Linked DNA regions of Sus scrofa. The protein of the gene in region 2 purifies or fractionates together with the protein of the main gene of each other region. This does not show direct contact. Links are inferred from orthologs where the notes say so. Each region holds a gene or a part of one and is shown on either strand. Other genes may lie near its edges.

The links.
Region 1: the proteins of CCNB2 (region 2) and PKMYT1 purify together in Homo sapiens (affinity purification with mass spectrometry; 4 studies listed by BioGRID and IntAct, with this or other methods). This does not show direct contact. The link is inferred for Sus scrofa from reciprocal best matches to the Homo sapiens genes CCNB2 and PKMYT1.
Region 3: the proteins of CCNB2 (region 2) and CDKN1B purify together in Homo sapiens (affinity purification with mass spectrometry; 3 studies listed by BioGRID and IntAct, with this or other methods). This does not show direct contact. The link is inferred for Sus scrofa from reciprocal best matches to the Homo sapiens genes CCNB2 and CDKN1B.

Annotation. Positions count from the first base shown.
Region 1 is NC_010445.4:39,200,751-39,204,857, reverse strand, and holds the start of PKMYT1 (membrane-associated tyrosine- and threonine-specific cdc2-inhibitory kinase), read right to left. Parts: upstream 2,811-4,107; intron 2,502-2,810; coding exon of another isoform or gene 2,482-2,501; intron 2,408-2,481; 5' UTR 2,183-2,407; coding exon 2,164-2,182; exon of another isoform or gene 1,978-2,163; intron 1-1,977. Other genes in the region: uncharacterized protein LOC110260113, read left to right, coding at 2,482-2,501, 2,811-3,353, 3,621-3,891. UniProt on the Homo sapiens protein: Acts as a negative regulator of entry into mitosis (G2 to M transition) by phosphorylation of the CDK1 kinase specifically when CDK1 is complexed to cyclins. Mediates phosphorylation of CDK1 predominantly on 'Thr-14'. Also involved in Golgi fragmentation.
Region 2 is NC_010443.5:112,935,561-112,939,074, forward strand, and holds part of CCNB2 (G2/mitotic-specific cyclin-B2), read right to left. Parts: intron 3,448-3,514; coding exon 3,319-3,447; intron 3,214-3,318; coding exon 3,100-3,213; intron 1-3,099. UniProt on the Homo sapiens protein: Essential for the control of the cell cycle at the G2/M (mitosis) transition.
Region 3 is NC_010447.5:59,733,021-59,737,268, forward strand, and holds the start of CDKN1B (cyclin-dependent kinase inhibitor 1B), read right to left. Parts: upstream 2,812-4,248; 5' UTR 2,770-2,811; coding exon 2,295-2,769; intron 1,749-2,294; coding exon 1,627-1,748; 3' UTR 1,619-1,626; intron 1-1,618. UniProt on the Homo sapiens protein: Important regulator of cell cycle progression. Inhibits the kinase activity of CDK2 bound to cyclin A, but has little inhibitory activity on CDK2 bound to SPDYA. Involved in G1 arrest. Potent inhibitor of cyclin E- and cyclin A-CDK2 complexes.

The DNA.
Region 1 (4,107 bases), on a different chromosome or scaffold from region 2:
TCTAACGCAGCTCCAGTGGGCTGGCAATCCTGAAGCCCCACGGCTCAAGTCTCAGCTCATTCCTAGGGAGAAGGTTCCACCCTGGGCGAGGCAAGCCAGGCAGGCCAGGGGCTACTGCCTCCACTCCGAGGCACCACTGTCCCTGCCCCCCGCTCCAGAACTCTGGCTTGGGGATCCTGCCCAGGGAAGAGGTCATAAAACAGAGAGCTCCAAAGTTCTCCCTGCAAAACACTGACTTGATGAGAAGCAGAGTGTGAAAAGTTCAAGCCTGAAGGCACTCTCAGGAGTTCCCATCGTGGCGCAATGGTTGACAAATCTGACTGGGAGCCATGAGGTTGCAAGTTCGATCCCTGGCCTTGTTCAGTGGGTTAAGGATCCGGCATTGCTGGGAGCTGTGGTGTAGGTCACAGATGTGGGTGGCTCGGATCCCACATGTCTGTGGCTGTGGTGTAGGCCGGCGGCTGTATCTCCGACTTGACCCCTAGTCTGGGAACTTCCATAAGCTGCGGGTGCTGCCCTAAAAAAAAGATTAGGAGTTCCCGTCGTGGTGCAGTGGTTAACGAATCCGACTAGGAACCATGAGGTTGCTGGTTCGATCCCTGCCCTTGCTCAGTGGGTTAACGATCCGGCGTTGCTGTGAGCTGTGGTGTAGGTTGCAGACTTGGCTTGGATCCCACGTTGCTGTGGCTCTGGCGTAGGCCGGTGGCTACAGCTCCGATTCAACCCCTAGCCTGGGAACCTCCATATGCCGCGGGAGCGGCCCAAGAAATAGCAACAACAACAACAACAACAACAACAAAAAAAAGACAAAAGACAAAAAAGACAAAAAAAAAAAAAAAAAGATTAAAAAAAAGGTAAAAAAAGAGAACAGATATCCGCAGATAAACAAAAACAGAAAAAATTCATTGCTAGCAGACCTGTTTTATAAGGAACACTAAAGGAAGCCCTTCAGACTGAAAGCCTGTGATCCCAAAGAGTAAGTCAAATCTACGTGAAAAAGAAAGAGCACCAGTAAAGTTAATCATGTAATATAGAAGACAGTATAGGAGTTCCCGACGTGGCGCAGAGGAAACGAACCCGCCTAGGAATGATGAAGTTGCATGTTCGATCCCTGGCCTTGCTCAGTGGGTTAAGAATCTGGCGTTGCTGTGAGCTGTGGTGTAGGTTGCAGACACGGCTCGGATTTGGCAGTGCTGTGGCGTGGTGTAGGCCTGGGGCTACCTCTCCGATTCGACCCCTAGCCTGGAAACATCTATATGCCGCGGGTGCAGCCCTAAAAAGACATAAAATATAAAATAAAATCAGAGACACTTTGAATTCCAAAACACACCTGGCCTCAGGGATTTGTGGACTTATAATGCCGACTTCATGGAAGGCTTAGTGTAGCGCCTGGCATGCAGACCCCTCAATAACTGTTACATAAAGCTCTGAGCAGTAATTGAAAGAACACACAAAATACAGTGGTCCATGGGTATAAGCAACTCTGTGTTGGGGCAGAGCGGGCTACTGTGTTTCTATAATGTCATAATTGAAAGAAAAACAAGAGGGGGAAAAAATGCGAGAGGAGTCCAATTTTGAGAGGAAGCCACAGTGTATCAAAAGATTCCATACCCTGGAGTTCCAGCCCTGACTCAGTGGTTAATGAATCTGACTAGGAACCATGAGGTTGCAGGTTCGATCCCTGCCCTTGCTCAGTGGGTTAAGAATCCGGTGTTGCTGTGAGCTGTGGTGTAGGTTGCAGACACGGCTCGGATCCTGCGTTGCTGTGGCTCTGGCGTAGGCCGGCGGCTATGGCTCCAATTCCACCCCTAGCCTGGGAACCTCCATATGCCGCGGGAGCAGCCCAAGAAATGGCAATAAAGACAAAAAAAAAAAAAAAAAAAAGATTCCATAACCAGCAGGGGGGTAAGTGCTGGGGAGAGTGAGAGGGGGAGGCAGGGGACCCCCCCCCCATAGAGGTCTGCATTTAAGACTCACCCTACAGCCTGTGGGGACCCTTGCTCTGCCATCCCAGAGTTTCTCAAAGTGAAGGATCAGGGTGTCAGGATCTCCTAGGGTGCTGGTTAGGCGTAGACTCCAGGCCCAGACGTAGGACATTTGGGGACCTTGGGCACCCGCATCTTAAACCAATTCTCAAAACATCGCAATGTCACTGTCACTTACGTTCTAGCACCCCTGGCATGGCCAAACAGCTTTGGGGGTGGGACAGGGGAGGTAGAAGGAGCAGGGGCTCCGGGTGAATCCAGGGTGGTCCTGAGCGGAGGCCAGGCCGCGACGACCTCTGCAGCTTTCAGGGGCCTCACCCTCTCACTGGGCTGGACACATCTGCTGAGCACGGTCCACTGCACTAGACTGTGAGTTCCTCCTGGGCAGGGCCACAGCTGAGTCACCTCCGTGGGCGCAAACCCTGGCCAACAGAGTGGAGCAGACCAGCTGTCAGGGGACAGGTCTGTGGGGGTTTTCCTGGAGAGGGACGACTCAATGGGGAGCAGTCGCTGGGGGCAAGGGGTCCCAAAAGAAAGGGGTCAGGGAAGCTGCAGAAGGAGTAGGACAAGAGCAGTCTGGGGGCAGGAGCCTCGAGAGAGGAAGTGGGTGGAGCCGCCCGGGGCAGGGTTGGGCCAGGGAGAGGTTAGCAGAGGGGCAGGGCAAGAAAGGGGAGGGGTGGGGCTGTCGGAGGGGGATGTGCAAGGGGGCGAGAGGGGGTTGAGACTGAGGCAGATCCGGGGAAGGGCTGTCAGGGGACAAGGGGATGCTGGCGAGGGAAGCAGAAGAGTGGGGAGAGCTGTTCCGCCCTGGAAATGTCAGGGCAGGGTATGGGCTCACCTGGGGCGGGTGGGCGGGGCGCAGCTCAGCGAGGTCCCGGATTCCGGTCTGCTGAGGGTGCGGGGATCCCCTGAGCGATCAGGCTGGCCGGGGTCTTCGGTGGACCGCTCCCCACACTGGCGGGGAGGACTCTCTGGACGGGGAACGGCCCGTGAACGCGCGCGGAGCCAGCTCGCGCCAAAAATTCCAAACCGGCCTCGAGGCCCCGCCCAGGAACGCCTCTTACCCCGCCGCCTCTCCGAGACAGCCTATCAGAGGAGCCCAATCTGCCGGGGCTCCGCCCCCAACGTCCGGGCGTGCGCGTCGCCGATCCCGCCCCGCCTGCTTCGCGGGGCTCTTGCGCAAGCGCGGAGCCACCTGGGCGCTGACTCCGAGCGGGGTTGGCTGCGCCGTGTGCCTGAGGGGCTGAGGCACCACGCGGAATCGGAACCTGCTCCTGGGGCCCTCCCGCCTGGTTCCCAGGACACCGAGGGACCTTCGGACACCGACAGAGCTCCACACCCCAGTCCCGGCACCCACGGCCCTCGCTGGTCTGCCTTAGTTTTCGCCTCTATAAAAGGAAGGGTCACTGCCTTTCGCCCGGGAGGGAGGTGTAGCCCCAAGAGGCGGTCACTAGGGGCCTGACAGGAAGTCCCCGCGGCCTCCGGGGCTCTTGCAGGTGGAGTCCCCTGGGCTCGCCGCTCCCTCCTCACGCCTGCAGTGCATGGCTCTGGGGATGCGGTGAGGGGTTGTCCCCCTGACATCCCCCCACCCGCGGAACGCTCAGCTTGGTGAACTAGAAAATTCTGCCTCTGCAGGAAGCCTCCCGGTTTCCAGGTCTCGGCCACCTCTGAGGGGGCCTTTTCGCATTCTTTGGATTTGAGACGTAAGCTCAGCGCAAACTCCCCTCAGCTCCTTCCTGGCCGAACGACCTTGGGGATGCACCGGGCCTTTCCGAGCTTCGGATTAACCTCCTCTCCGGTAAAAATGGAGCTGATGACGCTTACCTCAGGGAGCTGGAGGTTCAAGTGGGATGATCCGCTTAAAGTTCTTAGCAAGGGGCCTGCCAGAGCAAACGCTAATTCCTAACAGCTTCTTCCTTCACCAGAGAGAACCTTTTTATCCACATAACAGGATCAAGGGGGGGTCAGGCCACCCTCCCTAGAAAGCTCCCCATTTCATCACATTGCCTTTCCTGCTTTACTCTCACATTGCATTTATCTCTCTCTGGAATTCTATCCTCTTATCAGCTTTTGTTTTGTTTTGCTTTGTTTTTTAGGGCCGCGCCTGCAGCACATGGAAGTT
Region 2 (3,514 bases):
GAATAACCACCATCAATATTTTACATGCAAATGCATACCTTTAAATCTGGTATTGCACTGCATTATATTGTTATAATCTGATTTTTCTACCATTGTAACATGCATTTTGACATCTTAAAATATTCTACTGAAACATGTCATTTATGGTTGCATAGTATTTCATTAAATGGATGTAACAGATCTCCTACTACAGAATAAGAAATACTCATTACAGCACTACTTAAAAGTCCCTGACTGCCCCACTGATCATTTTCTTAGGATAAATTTTAAAAACAGCCTTACTGGGTATAAAGAATAACCATTTGAAACACACTGCCAAGCCACCCTTCTGACATGTGGGAGCAATCACATTCAATCCGTCATAATGGCCAGGAGATCAAGGCCTGAAAAGCTGCTCTGGGTTTGGTATTTAGGAGGTCTTGAGAAACTTCCAAGGAAAGGCCTTTAGGAAGGTTGATCTTGAGTATTTAGTTCTAGAATCAAAGCTTTCTTCTTCCTGTCTCATCAACAGCAACATGCTTGCAATCACCGCCTCTAAGTAGCAGGTTTGCAAATCTGTTCCTCTCTGTTAGATTTTGCTGGCACATTGCCAACTGCATTTCCCAATGGCTATCTCTGTTACTTCAACAAATCTAAAGCTAAATGAGATGACTTCCACAAAGCTACCTCACTCTCTTGCATTACCTATATTTTATTAATTTATTCCCTAAACAGTTTCTTAAATACTCAAATGCTTAATTAAGGGTCTCTCTCCTCCACTCCAAGCAGAATATACAACGAATTCCTTCTCATTACAGGATGATGTCCCTGAGAGGAGTTCTGGATTATCCTAACACATCAGATGTTGTTTCTTAGCACTTATGTACATAGGGATACATGTGTGAGCACATAGGGATACATGTGTGAGCACCTAGGAGATCTGGGCTCATTCAAGACACCCATCAGCCCTTGCTTAGAAAACTGCAATACCTCCTAATTAATGTCCCTTCCATGGCCACCCCATACTGCTTTCACCACTTAGCCTCAAAACTTTCCACAGTTCCTTACTGCCTGATGGGATAAAATTCAAATTCTAAGGCCTTCAAATCCAGCTGCAACCGTCTTTCCAACGTTGTTTGTTTTTCTCACACAAACCTTCTGATCCAGTTTAGACTTGCTGACTCTTTGCCCAAAAGGACATAATTTATAGGCCTGTTCCCACTTTGGTGCCTTGATTCCTATTGCTGCTTTGTTTCCCTAAAAGTGCTCTTTCCTCTCAGCTTCTCTCCATCCTTAAAAATCCCACTTATTGGAGTTCCCACTGTGGCGCAACAGGTTAAGGACCCAGCATTGCCGCAGCTGTGGCATAGGCTGCAGCTGCAGATCAGATTCAATCCTTGATCTAGGAACTTCCATATGCCATGGGTGGGGCTAGAAAAAGAAAAAAAAAATTCACCTACTCAAGGAAGTTTCCCCAGACCACTCCATCCCTCAAGGTTCACTCCTCTCTTTAGATACAATTTACATTCAGTCATCCATTGCCTATGGGCACAAAGCATCATGCCCTAGGATTACATATTTAATTTTCAGGTATAGATGCCCCTTCTAGGTAAACCTCCTCAAGGTAAGATGTCTCTTTATCAGCCTTAACACAACTGTATGTGTCTAGTCAGTACTCAACATATTTTTTGAAAACATCCAATGTTTTATTTTGAAAAAATTCAAACATAAATATATAAATATTCTGAGCTAGAAAGAGGCAGTTATATTGTATTCTCAGCAACTATAACAGTACCTATTTCGTTGTAATTATATGAATGTATGTAATCTATGAATGAGAGCATGCATGAACTTGAATATGGTGGAAAGTGAATGGGGCAGTGGGTCCATTAGCATTCTAACTTCAATTGAGCTTAACCAATCAAAGTTTTTCAACAGAGAATTTTGGCATTACTTTGTGCCTACATGAGTGAAAATCTCAGAATTGTAAACCTCCACCATCTTCATGGGCAAGTTCATTCTTTTTCTTTTTTTTTGTCTTTTTGCCTTTTCTAGGGCTGCTCCTGCGGCATATGGAGGGTCCCAGGCTAGGGGTTGAATTGGAGCTGTAGCCGCCGGCCTACACTAGGGCCACAGCAACGCAGGATCCAAGCCGCATCTGCAACCTACACCACAGCTCACGGCAACGCCAGATGCTTAACTCACTGAGCAGGCCAGGGATCGAACCCGCAACCTCATGGTTCCTAGTCGGATTCGTTAACCACTGCGCCACGATGGGAACTCCAGCAAGTTCATTCTTAAACAGTAAATTATAATTATTTTTTTTGTCTTTTGGGGCCACACCCTCAGCATATGGAAGTTCCTGGGCTAGGGGTCTAATCAGAGCTACAGCTGCTGGCCTATACCACAACCATGACAACACAGATCCAAGCCACATCTGCGACCTATACCACAGCTCATGGCAATGACCGATCCTTAACCCACTGAGCAGGGCCAGGGACTGAACCCATGTCCTCATGGATACTAGTTGGGTTTGTTACTGCTGAGCCATGACAGGAACTCCTTTATAGTGAATTGTTTTGTTTTGTTTTGTCTTTTTGCCTTTTCTAGGGCCACTCCTGAGGCATATGGAGGTTCCCAGGCTAGGGGTCTAATCAGAGCTGTAGCCACCGGCCTACACCACAGCCACAGCAACATGGGATCTGAGCCGTGTCTGCGACCTGCACCACAGCTCACGGCAATGCCGGATCCTAAACCCACTGAGCAAGGCCAGGGATCAAACCTGCAACCTCATGGTTCCTAGTCGGATTCATTAACCATTGCGCCATGACGGGAACTCCTACAGTGAATTATTTTAATAAAACCTACTAAATTTTCCTCGGAGGTCACTAAATTTATTTGGTTGTTAAAGTAATTAACTGTTTAATTCAAAGTTACAACATTGCATTAAAGCACCATCACTCAAAAGATGTATATGTTCATTTTCTACACTGCTGTCTCAAAGTAGAGCCCTAACTATGAGTGTTCCTCAAAAGTTGCAGTGACCACAAAGTTACCCCCTGTAGTCTGGCCCCAAACAGGCTGCTTTGTTAGGTAAGTTTGTAAATTCAGAACTTCTACCTTTGGAGCCAACATTTCCATCTGTACTGGTTTCACAGAAGCAGTAGGTTTCAAGGGCTTGTTGGCATTTGTTGTTTTGCTGGGCGGGACAAGTACCTTGATGTTCTGAGCTTTCTAAAAGAAAAAAGAAATGTGAATAGGGCAAGACAGCCAGAGTTGCCCCTCAGTCTTCTACAGAATCAGCCCAGTGTGCACATGTACCGATCTCACAGCTGTTACCTTAGCTACCTGGGTGGCTCTGGTTGTAACTCGATTTCCAATTTCTTCTAAAACTGCCCTCCTGATAGTCACATGACTCTTAGGTTTAGAATTAAGTCCTATGTCAATATTCTCCAAATCAGTAGACACCTGGAAAAGGAAAAAAAAAGAAAAAAAAATTAAGGAAGAACTGAGATAATTTACAATATTTGCTAAC
Region 3 (4,248 bases), on a different chromosome or scaffold from region 2:
AACACTTAAGAGTAGCAAAATTTTCTAAATTTGAAAAATAACTGGAAATAGAAAAGCTCACCAAAGAAAATTCTATTCACCCCCCCCAAAAAAAAAACTAGTTTCTCAGTCGTATGAAGAGTATACACACATGAATGCTTGAGAAGAGGTCCTTACTACTATTTCCTGTATTCGCTGAACTGGCAATATTTACTAACAAATGCCTCTCTGTATGTCAGAATGCGGCCAGATCAAAATCCAGTAGGTCTGATTTGCTGTGGCTCATCTGATGAGCTAGGCCACGAGTCACCAACCAACAAGAGCCACAGGTGTTAAGGTTGACTCAGAAATTTTTTTCACTTCATATACAGCTATAACGTAGGGTTCGATAGTGCCGTGTTGTATAAGCTCTGAAAGATATCAGACGTATGTAATAAAGTCCTACCTGTGACACTGATGTAAAAACACAACAAACTTGAACCCTACCTTCATCCCTGTTCTTTATTTTAAAATTTTTATAAATGAGGATTTTGAAAGTTAATGTCAACATCTCTTAGGATCTCTTTAAATGCTAAGCTATGAGGGTGTTTGTGGAGGGGAAAAAAAAGAGGTCACGGTCATTGTCTGTAAGGAGTGTACAAACTATTAACTAATATATGTAGTTTGATCATTATGGAAACCAATCCATGTAAAGCTGGGGGGCTGAATTATGCAAATTAGTTTTTTACATTGATCAGATTTTAGTAGGTGGAAAAATGTCCACTTGCCTTGTTCGGGGTAGCCCTAACCAGTGGCAGCCCTGGTATCTACTATCCATTTCCCCTACAAATATCCAAATTATCCTGTTATAGCACGATTAGCATACACATGCTGACGTGTTCCTGGATTGCTTACTCTGGCAGAGTTACTTAACTTCTGCTTTGTAACTTCAGTGTTATCAGAAATTCCATAGGAACCTTAGCGTTTTTGAGCCTTCCATTTTGGTTTTTTTTAAATACACAGGTTCCTTCTCCATCCCCCACACTGATCAGAAAACAGGGCAAGTGACACTTTGTGAAAACGATAGATAAAAGAAAGCCACACTCCTCTCTATTCACATTTCTAACCATGTGATTAACCAGATATGAGCCATTTGTACCTAACTTTTCCCTCAAAGTTTTAACTGGATCATTTATTTGCCATTTTTTTCCATGTATGGCTCAAAATCTGTTAGAGTCAGCTTGGTCCTCTGGGAGATGAATTCTCCTGAAGTGGGATGGAGGCAGACCCCCGCTCTTGTTCAGATGGAAAAAGAACCTATTGTTCCCAACACCGTTTTGATGGGACTCTCAGGGAACTGACCTTCCTACCCACAGGGCCTTGGTTGCAAGTATTTGCCTGGGACACTTGCTCTAATCATTGGGAGCTTCAAAGGAAAATGATCTCAGGACAGAGAAACTGGGAAGAATTATAGTACCCCCACCCTGATGCCCAGTCTTTCCCATTCCTCCTTTTTTTGGACCTCATAAAATACAAACAAAACCCCACAAGCTCTAATCTGCCAGACACCACTAAGATCGGGTATCTTGGTGTTTGAAAACCCATGAGTTCCTTCAGCCCAAATCGGGTGTCACTTATTTGCTTCCAGTGATCAACCCACCGAGCAGTTTACGTTTGACGCCTTCTGAGGCCGGGCTTCTTGGGCGTCTGCTCCACTGAAGCCGAGTTCGGGGAACCGTCTGAAACATTTTCTTCTGTTCTGTTGGCTCTTTTGTTTTGAGGAGAGGAATCTAAAGGCAGGAGGGAATTTTAAAAAGAACACACACAAATAATCTTTATTAGAAAAAACAATGGCTGACACAAGTTGGCTCGATACTGAGGGGACAAAAAACCCACCACCTCCACCCACCATCCTGGATCCGTCATTCCCAGTGGCCTTTAAGGGCACAAAATGAGGTTGTTTTCACATAACAGAAAGTGTATTCTACGCCCCAAATCTCTCTCTCTCCAAAGCGAAGAGGGAGGTGGTTGATAAACATCCCAACGTTGTCACATACCTACAGCTGGCTAGCGGGGAGGAGCCGCGATGTTTTCAGTTAGAGAAATTATCAGATAGCACAGTCTCATGCTTCAGACTTAAAAGTCATAAACAGACCAGCAGCTAGCCAAATAGCATTTAAAACCTAAGATGAGGAAGGTGTGTTCCCCAAGAGCTAAGTCAGAATGCGCTGAAAAGAAAGCGGAGGTTTAAGATCCTCAAGCAGGGAAAACAGCACGGCAGACAAACAGAGAGAGGCAGACAAACAGACGTTTCATGCATTCGAAAGGGTCATTACCGTCTGTGGCAGGTCGCTTCCTTATCCCAGTGCACTGCTCCGCTAACCCCGTCTGGCTGTCCGGTGCATCAGTCTTTTGGTCTACCAAATGTGTGTCCTCTGAGTTGGCCTGAGACCCAATTAAAGGCACCGCCTGGCGGGTCCCGCTGACACCCTGGCCCTCCTGCGCCGGCACCTTGCAGGCGCCTTTGGGTGGCCGCGGGGGTCTGTAGTAGAACTCGGGCAAGCTGCCCTTTTCCACCTCCTGCCACTCGTATTTGCCCTCCAGGGGCTTGTGATTCTGAAAATCAAAATTCCACTTGCGCTGGCTGGCCTCTTCCATGTCTCTGCAGTGCTTCTCCAAGTCCCGGGTTAACTCTTCGTGATTGACCGGGCCGAAGAGGTTTCGGCAGGCCGAGGGCTTGGGGTACTCCGCCTGTCTGGCGTCCATCCGCTCCAGGCTCGGGCTCCCGTTAGACACTCTCACGTTTGACATCTTCCTCCCGGGGCTCGGCGACCGCCTCTCTCGCGCTCTCGCAAAACAAAACCGAACAAAACAAAACGCCTCGACCCAGCCCGAGCCCCTCTTATAAGCCCTGCGGCTGCCCTCCGAGCCAAGAGAAACAAACACCGACGAGTAAGCGCCCGAGCGTCAGGAGCGCGCTGGGGCTGGGGGAGGGGGCGAGGGGCAGCCCGGGCCAGGCAGCCCCGAGTCTCCGCCGATCAAGTGTACGGGCGAGCTGGAGGGCGGGGAGGGGAGGGGAGAGGAGCGCAGCGGAGAGAGGAGGGGGCAGAGCCAGTCCGAGTCCCCGCCGCTGCGAGCCCGCGGGTCCCGCCGACCGAGCGGCTCTCCAAACCTTGCCGGCGTCGGAGTCGCGGAGCGGCGAGAAAGTGGGGACAGGGGAGGGGGAGAAAAACACCCCGAAAAGACGAGCCCCCTTTTTTTAGTTGCCCAATATGGCGGTGGAAGGGAGGCTGACGAAGAAGAAGATGATTGACACCGCAAGTCTATTTAAACAGAGGAGGAGATCATTGGTCGCGGCGCCGGGAGCCGCCCAGCCGAGACTGGCGAGCTGGGCCTTAAGGTGGCCCCTGAGCCGCCGCTGCGCCTCCCCGCCTCCCGAGCGCGCCGCCGCCGAGCGCGCGGCCGGGAGCTCGACTGGTCGCGTGACTGCTGGAGGTGCCGGGCTGCCAGCAAACCTGCTCTGGCTGGCCTCGGAGAAATTAAAAATAAGACAAACTCGCCAAAAGGCCGGGGAGCCGGGGAGGGGCCTGGCCGGAGAGGTGGCGGGTTCTGGTCCCTGCGCTGCGCTCCGCTCCGGAGCCCCGACCTCCCTCTCCTCGCCGAGGGCGATCTTATTTTCCCCTCGCTCGCCGAGCGGGTAGGGGCGGGCAGCTGGGCTCGCCGCTGGGCGCTCGGCCCCCAGCTGGGCTCTCTCCCGGGGGGGCCCCCACCGCTCGCTCAGCGGGGGAGGCGGGGAGCCCCTGAGCCTGGGTGCCTTAGCTGGGGGTGAGCAGTGGTTAGCTCACCCTTAACCTAGAAGTCTGTGCTGTTCTAGGGGAGGCAGGGGGCTTAGGGGGGAAGCCCAGGAGGACGTCTTTCTATAAGTAGACTGGAATAGATGCTGCATTTGTAATGTATTCTGAACCCAAGCTCTCCCTCAATAAAAACAAGAAAAGGGCTTCGAGATCAAAAACTCTATTGGTCTCCCAAGTCCCTAATAAACTTAGTAGCTGTCTCAGATACATTTCGTTTAAAAAAGCGAGGATACACCCCTGGCCCAGGTTCTTGCTTCCCAAGCACTGTTAAGGCCACTGACTTGGTCTGCGTGTGGGAACTCGTCTCCTCTTTTATATTTTTCAGTTCTTTCCCGGCTTGTAGCAGTTTCCTCTACCTGAGTCCCGCCGCCAAATACAACAGCCCCTTCCTTCCTTCACCTTTCTCTCCCACCAGATTCACTTCTCCAGCCCACCC